Linked DNA regions of Drosophila melanogaster. The protein of the gene in region 1 interacts with the protein of each later gene in a pairwise test. Each region holds a gene or a part of one and is shown in the gene's direction. Other genes may lie near its edges.

What was found. The genes of interacting proteins can lie anywhere in the genome.
Region 2: the proteins of prg (region 1) and Stacl interact in a two-hybrid assay, tested with the Drosophila melanogaster proteins (one large-scale study listed by BioGRID).

What each region holds. Positions count from the first base shown.
Region 1 is NT_033779.5:8,461,480-8,467,194, forward strand, and holds prg (piragua), read left to right. Parts: upstream 1-3,008; 5' UTR 3,009-3,130; coding exon 3,131-3,295; intron 3,296-3,353; coding exon 3,354-4,865; 3' UTR 4,866-5,215; downstream 5,216-5,715. UniProt on the Drosophila melanogaster protein: May be involved in transcriptional regulation. The function of this protein is unclear.
Region 2 is NT_033778.4:15,399,408-15,404,781, forward strand, and holds the start of Stacl (Stac-like), read left to right. Parts: upstream 1-1,688; 5' UTR 1,689-2,976; intron 2,977-5,288; exon of another isoform or gene 5,289-5,374.

The sequences.
Region 1 (5,715 bases):
CTTTAAGATGCGATTCTCATGTCACCTATTTAAACCGAAGATATTTCCAAATAAAATCAGTTTCTTACAAAAACTCAACGAGTAAAGTCTTCTTATTTGGGATTTTACAAGCGCTGAGATCTAATGGTTATGCCATTTTCCTTGGATTTTCATTGATTTTTTGTGTAACGCTTGTGAATGTCACATGTTCCTCCGAAAGCATATTATAATTTCCAACTTTGTACTTAATTTGCACGGCAATATTAGATTTTCGATATTGCGGCTCAGTAATTGGTCATAAATGGCTTATGTTATTAGTTCTGCAGAAAACAAGAGCTTTGCGATAATATTTCCACGTATTTATCGTAGTTTATACCCCTGCGCTTACTGGGTTCTTGGTACACAACGAAAAATAAACAATGATATGGGAAACTACATTTATTGTAAGAGAAATATTCAGCTCCATTTGTGGAATTGATTTTACTGTGATTATTCTAGAGGGTTGAATGACAAGAAAATTACCGACATGGTTTTACAGCCTACAAGTTACTGGATTGCAAATGAAGAAATTTTAGAAAAACACTTTGTACTCATACGGGTTAAGTTTTAAATTTACATTTCTGACAGTGTGCTAAAATCAATTTATCTACTGCACATGTTTGACTTTTTGTTTACAATGTCCACCGTCATCGCCTGCTTTTAATATTGCGAAGGGGGTAAATGGTTTGACACCCATTATCAGTATCAGTTCGACGCACGACAATCTCAGCGAAGCGTTCGGTGTGCGACAGCGGAACATCGATTCATTCAGGCAGCATAAGCTTTAGGCTACTGATAAGATTGTGGCATGATTTCACGCTGGGAAACTATGGGCATGGTTTTGTTACACAGTTGCTACGCATGTGACGCGGCCGCGGAAATTAACTTAAGTCCGGACATGAGGTCTGGACCTCCCCCACAGCCACCAATTGCCGTTCAGGTCAATTTAACGTCAGCGTTTCAAGTCAAGTTCAAAGTCAACGGGGAGAGTGATTCTAAGCTGTAGAACTAGACCTAGCTTGAGTCACGGCACCGATTCATTTGATCTGCTGATTGGACTTTCCTCATCGAATGATCATTGCCGAGCACTTAATTGCCGAGTGGAATGTTTAGGACAGCAATCTTCAGTTGTTTTTCATTGTACACAAAATTGGAAGTCACTCTCATGTGGCCGGCAAATGGCATGTTCCCTATGTTTAGGGGTAATTGTATGCAAGTGTAAATATTAAGTTAGCAGAAGTCTCGTAGGGTAAGGATATTTACTAATTCGGTGTGGTGATATCATATAGATTTGCTTCTAGGGACTTTAATCAGACCATTAAGCTCGAATGCAATCTTTGCGCTTATTTCACTTAAGCAATTATATTTTATCTTTATGTTCAAACTTTTTAGGGCAGATAGTGCATACGCTAGAGTGCTTTCGTTCTACTCACTACTAACTCACTACAAATCACTACCTAAATAGGCTAATAGACGCATTTTAAAGACCCCAATTTCGGTAAATTCATGAAATTATAAATTCTCTTTTTTATAGTCCTATTTATGAATTATAAATGCACAAATTCATTTTCATACGCGCAACGGCAACTGTGAAAAGTGAGGAATCCCAATAACCAAAAATTAACAGGGACTTGGTGGCAGAAAATTTAACACTCATGAGAACTACAGGGTGCGAGGGCAAAGCTTGGGTTAACAGGATGATAGGTACACAGAAAAAAAAAACTATTCCATTGAAATTTGCGATCATCATTCATACGGTGTTTATGTTTTTGGAGTAGTTGATTCAAAATTGTAAAAAAAAAACCCTGTGTTTCCTTTAGCAATGTGGTCCAATCAGTTCATCATTTTATGCATATAATCTAAATAATAAAATTGAACCTGATTACACATCAAAATCAAATTTCTCTCCGTGCATCGGGGGAGAGAACAATAAATGTACACGGGGTTGCTGTTGCTTTTATTCCTTAAGGACGGGAATAACACACTAACCGCATGGGAGAGAAAAGAAGTGGAAGAGGGGAGGTGGGTAGGGAAAAGGAGCGAAAGAAGGAGAAGCGGCAGGAGCATAATAAAGACAAAAAGTACGTGGGTGGAAAACAACAAATACAGCCCAAATTGTATAAACTCACGGAACAGTTATTTCCCTCTATGGGTGGAAAATTGTTGCTGCTAATTCCCTTGCTGCTGTTGTTGTTGTTGTTGTTGCCGCTGCTGCGTAGGCGTAACAGTTGTTTTGCCGATGTGTGTGTGTGTGTTCTAGTATAATTTGCAGCATCTGCAGTGCAATAAATTCCACTAAACGAACATTAGCCACTTTCAATAGAACCAAAAATCTCACTGCAATTAAGCAATAACCGCGCAAGCAATCAATCCCGATTAGTTAAAGGAATATACGCGCGTACGCACAGATTTTTAAACAATCATCCGCTTTCGCCGAAAGAGTGCCGGCACTCGAAAAATACCTCCGCTTTAATCAAGAGTCCGCGGGCAATTGAAAAAGCTCTCGCTTCGCGTGTTCACGGCGTGTACCTACATAGGTACGCATCAATTAGGTACCTGCCGCCCACTGCTTTAATCGTAAGTGCATTTCTGATTTAAAAGTGTGACACGAGCCTTATAAGTCTTATAATTTATATTTTATGCAAACAGCTTTACAAATTTTTAATGTGTAGAAAGAAACTGCGTTTTATTGAATTTGAGCATCATCAAACTTCAACCCCAAAGAATTACACATAAGTAGTTTCGTTTTTGCTACCAAAGATGCTGACGTTTATTTTGCGTATTAGATATGGCTTTGTTACAATTTTAGTAAAAGTATTTTAAAATGGAAAGGTACAAATCTGAACTTTAATAAAACACAAAATTGTTTAATTTAAAAACTTCAAATATTCAAAAATTCCTATAATTCAATTAAGTAACCCACTGTGCAGCGGCTTATCGATTTCCTCCGACAATCGATTGGACCATGTTGTTTAATTTCGCGACATATCGATACTATCGTGGTAGATTGGCCATTGACCAACGCGTTTTATTTGCTACCGGTGTGGCTTTTGTTTGCTTAAACAATTGGATAATTTATTGCAATCCCGGCTTAAATGCATATGATTGAAGAATGCATACATCGGATATCAGCATGACCCAGGATCAGGATGTGAGCACTTGTCGCCTGTGCCACCATAATACGGATCCCAACTCGCTAAACATTTTCGATGACACCGTGCAGTTTTGCAAGGATGTGTCCATTGCAGAGGTTTCCAAGAGTCTCTGGAGCGTTCAGGTGAGTGGGCCATTTATAATCCATGGAAAAAGTGCATGAATAACTTCTCCACCTACAGTACGATCGCAACGAATGTTTGTCGGAGCTCATTTGCTCAAGGTGTCTGGAGATCCTCGAAGAGGCATTCGAGCTGCGAAAAGGAATGCAGGAGCGGGAACAGTCCCTGCAGGAGCAGCTGAAGGAGATGATTAAAGATCATCCGAAGCACCGTCCAGGCCTGAATGGCAACCCCGGAGTATTCGTACCCGAGGAGGGCTGCATTATTGTGGAAGTTGATCCAGAGAATCTGGCAGAGAGCAGTGAAGAGGAATTCGCACTCGGCTCCGATGGGGAGTACGAAAACTATGACGACGATGATGAGGAGGAGGAGGAAGACTACGATGAGGAGGACGAGGAAGATGGCCAGAACGGCGAAGACGTCGACATGCCACTGGGCATGGATGCGGCCCAGATGGCGGCTCAACAGTCCGTTGCCAACAACGCCAACACCACGGAGGCACGGCCAAAACGAGCGTTCCTCTGTCAATACTGTGATCTTGGGTTCACTCTGCCCGCCGAGTGTCAAGAGCACGAGCTGGCTGCACACGATCCCAACGCACCGTACTGCTGCAACTTTTGCAACATCAAGCTGGTTACCCGGCCTGCTTTGATTTCGCACATAAAGACACTGCATGATCCGGACCGTCCGTATGTGTGTGCTCACTGTCGGAAGGGTTTTGTGCGCCGCTCCGATCTTAAAAAGCACACAATCGTGCACACTGGCGTGAGGCCCTTCACATGCAACGTTTGCTCCAAGAGTTTCTCGCGGAATACAAATCTGACCAAGCACATGCGCATTCATAGCGGTGTCAAGCCCTTTGTTTGCCAGCAGTGTCCGCGATCCTTCCAGACGGCTGTGGAAATGATGCGCCACACACGTTCGCACGGAGAGGTAAAGGCTTTCCAATGTGGACGCTGTCCCTACTCGTTTTCGCGCAGGGATAAGCTAATAGCCCACCAGCAAGTCCATACCAGGCGGGACATGGAGCAGCAGCAGCAAATGGGTCTAATTCCCCCGATGGAGGGTGATCTGCAGCAGCAGGCGTTGCAGGCTAAACAAAAGGCTGCCGCACAAACCAAAAACTCACGCTATTACCACTGTGATGTCTGCGATCGAACTTTCCAACGGGAGAGGGACCTGCAACGCCATCAAGCTCTTCACATGGACTCGCTGTTCGCCTGCAAGACATGTAATCAAGGTTTCAACCGACGCGAGCAACTGCAGCGCCATGAGCTAGAGGCTCATGGTCCCAGCTTTACGTGCGGAATCTGTTGCATTAGCTTCCTGCATCAAATTGAGCTGGAGAATCACCTCAAAGTCCATCAGTTGCAGCACAAGATGGCCCAGCGGGCTCAAGAGGCTGCTATTTTACCCCTAAAAATGGCCGAAAAGGCTCCAGTGGCTATGACGGCTCCGCTAGTTCAGGATCCCCAGCTAGTGCGTCCCTCGGCAGCGGAACTGTCGTTCTACAGCAACATGATTCCCACAATGAATCTGGGCTTCTACAGCGAGACTCGTCCCGAGGAATAGAACAACATATTTACATGTTTAATAAGCTTAGTTGATAGGTCGGAAAAGTTTTGTAGGTCAAGGCTGTTTTAGTCGTTCAGGTCAACATAGAATCCATTGGTGTTAATGAATCTGTATAGTTTAAGTCATCTGACTATTGTCTGCCAAAATGTAGCTTAGTGGTTTTTAATAAAAGGCCAAATCTGAAACGGTTTTCTTCGAGATCGTATGACTTTGTGAAGATATTATTTTTCATAAGATATTAAAGAAAGTTTTCTGCTCTATAAAAAACTTCTTAAAGTTAAGTTATGTTAAACCTATTTAAAGTAGGTTTACTTAATATATAAATAAAATATCAAGTAAGGTATTTGAACATTTTGTATTAGCAGTCGTCTCAGACCAACATGTTGCGTGCAACAAGTTGCACGTTGTCCGATACGAAGAAGGTCTTCTCCGAAATCTTCAGAGCAACTGCACCGCTGCAGATTCTTTCTTGAGTTCGCCCCGTACGGTAGTGCCTCTCGACCAGCGCTCTCGGATCTTGATCGCCTCGAAATCTCGTAATCGCCTCGAAGTGCGCGTAGTGAATTGTGCTGGTGCTGACAGTGTAACGTAACGTTTGATAGAATAATAAATAATAAGTATTGGAGTGGGAGATCCGCAAAGAAATGTGGCCAAGCTACCATAAATAAAGTGCGGATTTCAAACGAGACGATAAATCTATTCCCGAAACGGGCACGCAATCGAGGGAATACGAATCCACCTTACGGTTCGCTTGGTTTTGGTTAGGTTCAGGTTCCGCTGAGAGCGGTAAGTACGCAATTACCTTCGCCATTGCCAAGGGTCACTTCGCAGGCGATTTATGTGTATG
Region 2 (5,374 bases), on another chromosome or scaffold:
TTGAGAGTAGAGCAGGACCACAATTTACTGATGGAATTTTTACACAAGTTATTTATTTTGTTTCTATTGCTGGCCGCTTCATTCATGACGACTTCATTTACTTGACGAATGTGCCCGTGCAGGACGAAGGATCCACGCTGCTGGCTTTATTAATATTTATAAGTTGGACTCTCTAGCAGGAGCTTAGCCAAAGCCGCAATAATTCCCCCGACCACGCAATCAAAATCAACCCTCTTGGAAATTCCGATGGCTGGCTGGAGACAGCCACTTGGTTCGCTTAACATTTTCAATTTCAATCTAATCTAAATTACATGATATGCGCACAATTTGAACGCTAATGAGCAAGGAATTTGTGGTAAGATGGTGGCGGAGCAACGCTGCGTATGCGCAACATATTGCGTGTGAATTTTAATTAAAAACTTTTCTCACTTTCCAACCGAGATAATCTCTGTCCCACCGCCTTTTCCTCGAAATCTCCCACTGCGAATCGGATGTCCTTTCGTGTTGGCTGCTGTTGTTGCTGTTGCTTCGATTGCATCGATTTTCTGCTAACTTTGAACGGTATTTGAAAGGAGCTTAAGCTTGTTTCTTTTATTTGCGCTACCTTCGCGCGAAACCCGATTCCATGGGCAGCAAACAGGACCAGGTTGGCTAACAAATTCTTGGAGCTATTCAGCGGTTAGCGGTTGGGGTAAACAACTTCTATAATCACTGTAATGCGATCAAGCATAAAGATGGCTCTAGCTGACCGTTTATTTAGATGGGTAAACGGGTAATCCTATTTTTAGCCATGTTTATTAGACGAGAACAGCTTCTTTCACTAATGCGATTTAAAGAAAGCCTAATTTTTTAAAATAACTATACTTAATTAGTTGCAATCTCTTTCACATTTACATCACCCCTGCTAAGTAGAGGGTATGTGGTAGTCGAAGAACTCGTCTATAGCGCCCTCCCTGATTGTTGTAAAGTTGTAATAATAGTAATAAGTTAAAATATGTTGGTAGAGGATTTCAATGAGGTATTTTATTTCAATAAAATTCCGCTTAGAACATTCACCATTCGTTGCATTCCGTTCGCCCTCTAACCTGTTAACTTGGTTTTAATTTACACTTAATTACGTGCATTGCCGTGGCAAAAGTGCAACAGATTGCTTCGTGGATTGCTTCATTAATTGTCCTCTGTTGTGGCAACTACCATCCTGCCGCATCTCCCCTCTAATAACACATTACCAAGCTGCTGGTCCTGCTATTTAATGGCCTCACATGTGTCGGGAGATAGGGACAAAAATTAACCTTTGACCTGAATGTGTACGGTATCGCGTCACTTGGCTGTGCAAACAAATTGTTTCACGTCAAAAAGTTCCATTATTCGATTATGAGCCGGTCGAATAATACATTAGTAATGCAATTAATTAGTATATAAAGAATTCCGTATTCACACCGCCATCGGCACCAAATGATTAACTTCCATGGCAATTGTTTTGCTTAGGGCCCAACCACTTGCTTGATTCCCTTCCCATAACTGCTCTTTTCTGGCCAAGAGCACCTGCCCGCTCTTTGGAATTCCCAGTTGCTTTCTCTTCGTTTGCCCACGCAGCCGCATCAAGCTATTCCGAAAATAAAGCAGCCGACTTGTGGACGTTGCGTATACGCAGTGTTGTCGCCGCCGTTCGTTTGGAACCACTGTTCAGTCGCTAGCTGGACGTGATGTTGGCCGGAAGAGCAGCACGGCAAACAAATAAAGACTTAGCCAAAACAGCTGAACAATAGCTGAGCTGAACTGAACTCCAGGCCGTAACAAGTGTGGCAGTAGTTAGGTGTTCGTGCCGCTGAAACAACAAGTATCCAGCACAGTACTTTCTATTTCGGTTAGTCGGTCGGTCGGTTGGTCGTTTGGTCGGTTTGTCCGAGTGTGTGCGTGTTGGCCACCTAAGTCCTGGTGCGTGCGTGTGTGTGCGCGCTAACTGTGTTTTTGGATGCAAATCAAAGCGCAGCTCACCTGAAAAGTATGCTTTAAATTTTTACTATCGCCACTCCGCGTGTGTACTTGTAACTCTGAAAAGTTTCTGTTTCTGTGTTTATTTGACTACCGCGGCGCATTTACATAAGTAAACTTTGGCATGCGCGCGGCCTGCTGCCGCTGATGTAGATGTAACGACGTCGACGTTGGCACTGAATAATTAATGCAATCAAGCAATTTGAACCCGTTCCGCCGTGGAGTGTGCCTGGGCCAGTGCCACAACGGTTTCAACGTGACCATAATGAGAGCTCCCCAAGCTACAAGTCACTAAGTGTGCCCGAAAAGCCCAATAACACAAAGAGATAACCTGACCAAAATTCGCAACAAAAAAAAAAAAAAAATACAACACACAAGAAGCCTGAGGAACAAGGAGGGAATACACTATATTTTTCGACAGAACTATAGCTATACTATACCATATTAACAAGAGAGAGTCTACTATATATGTACTTACTTAGTGCTAACTGACCACGCATATTCCAATCATAAATTATCGTGATAAAAATTCTTAGGCGCTGAAAGCCAATTTCAATTTTCACCCAAAAACGATAGAAGAAGAAAAGCCCCTGAAAGAGAAGAGAGAGAGAGAGAGGGATATACGCTGTCTGCAGACCAACAAATTACTAATAATAATTTTTAGATTTAAACGACAACAAAAACGAGACTAACAAACATCTGCTGGCCACACAAGGAACGTATACAAATAAATGCGGGTATATAGCAAAATGTAGACAGCTTGGCAAATATATTTCGATTAAAATATATACCAAATTGAACTGGACAGAGCTTTGACACGAAAACCAAATCGTTTGCCAAGTGAATTTTATGAAATTCGCCTGATTATTGCGGCAACAATAGAGATAAGATTCGGAATCAGAGGAAAAGCGTTTAAGTGAATGGGAAAAAGCAGCCAACAGGTTGTCGACGACAGATAAGGCCAACATTTTCTCGAAATTGGTAAGTTGAAATCACAGCAGTGTAGAACGAATGAAAAATAATGAATGTGGCACTTCATTTCTACCACTTGGAAGGATAGTCTGATTTAGAAGTTTATTAAATGGTATGCTAAGTTTTGTCAATGATTTTATTTTGCTAAGAGCTTTGCCATCAACTAATAAAGGAGATTAAGCTTTGAAAACTTGATTGAAAATGAATTTGGGTTTCTGTGGAAGCTTAAGTTTTGCCAAAGTGAAAGAAACTACTGCAAGTTTTGAATAAACTAAATAATTTCTTTAGCAAAGTTAAAGTTTGACAAAAATCATTACAAACTAAAATGGTCATTTGGCTACTTTTAAAGCAATTTTCTTAATTGCATATATTTCGTGTTGGCAGAGTGCATTTAAAATTCTTTTTAAGTTTACTCACCTCACAATTCCCAAATCTGTATCCATTAATTAAGTGCAACTACTTACAGCTGAGAAATGTGATTAAAAGAATGCTATGCAGTTAAGAAATTAAAGTGTCATTGGTGACTTTCTTCACTCCTGCAAGTTCGTCGCTTTTTGCAAAGGTCCTGCGCACGGCTGCCCAATTCCTCCATCCATTATCCACGTAATCCCACTCGTCACGAGATTCCATCCGTCAAATCCCATTCCCGCCCAGCAGCAACATGTAAATGCTCCTGTAGTTCCGGAACATATGTGTACGAAATGAAAAGATCCCAAGGAGTAAACTGTAAACTGTAAAAATACTGACCATGTCGCAAAGTGCCATAAACAATTTTACAACATTTTTGCTGTCATAAGATTAAATGTGCATAAGCTGGAGGAGGGGCAAGGACAAGAAGAGCGCACTCCTCCGCAGGAGGATGAAAAAAAAAATGGAAAGTGCTAGGGAAAAAAAGGAGAAAGCTGTAGGAAAAGCTGGGCAATAGAGCACTGCGATGGGCGAAAGCGAAACAAAAGCAATAACTATAAAACAAACACGACAATTCGCTTCAACTTTGGGGCTACAAAAAATGGCTGAACACACACAGACAGAGGCAAACCGACTTTATGTGAAGAAAGAAAACAACGCTGAAGAACAACGGAGACTCACAGATACGAATACACTGGGTGAAAACTGAATGATTTAAATTACACAATAAAAGTATTGATTTAAGAGTGCTGGGCTCCGGTACACTGCAAGATAGGTTAGACAATGTAAACTTTAAAATATTTAAGATTTGGAAACTCCTTGGGGTTTAAAGGAATATTATATGGAGAGTATTTATGTTTTTCTCTGTAATATGTCTTGCATCGCTTTGGATTTTCTCACTTGAAGGACCCCACTTCGATTCCAGCACTTTTACTCGCGGTGTACACATACACAAGCCCATGTGCATTCATTCTGAGCTCCTTTTTTATGGCCGCTGGCGGTGGGTGTTCGTTGGTATGGTTTTGTTGAGGGTCGACTGGGCTATAAAGGTATGCAGCAGGCAGCAGACGACAGCATCCAATTACAAAGTGAATATTTCGAGACTTGTTGGTTTGACTCCCGCCTTTACGCTCGGGCAGCATATCTCGGTTTCCTTCCATGTTGACCTTAACATTTATTTCATCTGCTCTCTTCTCGGCTTTGTGTGGCAGCCTTAAAGTGACTTTCAAGTTTTTGGTACCGCCGTTACTGTCGCTGACCTGATTCTGATTTCTTCTTTAGTTGCACGAAAACGAGACCACCGAAAACACCGGGTCCATTCCCAAATGAAAACATTTTACGGGGAAGCCCCCACGGAGAGTGGTGTTAGTAGGAGGTCCTTGGGGGGAATAATGAGGTACGCGACCGTGCCCACTTGAGCACGTTCTACATGAACTGCTGGCCCAGCCGGCAATGGTGATGATGGCATGCTAATAACGTCCAACGACCACCTTCCTGAATGGCCAAAATACAAAAAATAAAAAAAGAAAACAAAAACGCTAAAAAACTGAGAAAACGACCAACATGTTTCGCCACGCTTTCGCATTTATACATGGCCTGTCATTTTAACATTATCCGCGCGAAAACCCCCCGATAGCTATCGGTGCGGTCCTGCTGCTATTTGACTCCGGGACTTTCCCCAAAATTTCGAGGGCCAACAAGTGTCCGCTTCAATGTTTGGGCAGCTGTGTGAAATTTAATTAGATTTACGACGGCTTTGTCCATCAAACACTGCCCGCTCACCCGTGGCGTATACGCAATGTCGCCATGCTGGGAGGTGGAGCACACACACAGGAAGCAATCACCTGCTGACCAACAAAGAGCACATTGTCCCCTCCTTTTGTGCCATGATTTTTGGACACTTTGTATGCCACGCGACATGTGTCAGGTGGGTTTAGTTCCAGCTTGGCTTTTGGTTCATTTCAAAAAAAAAAAAAAGTAGGAAGGAAGGATGGAGAAT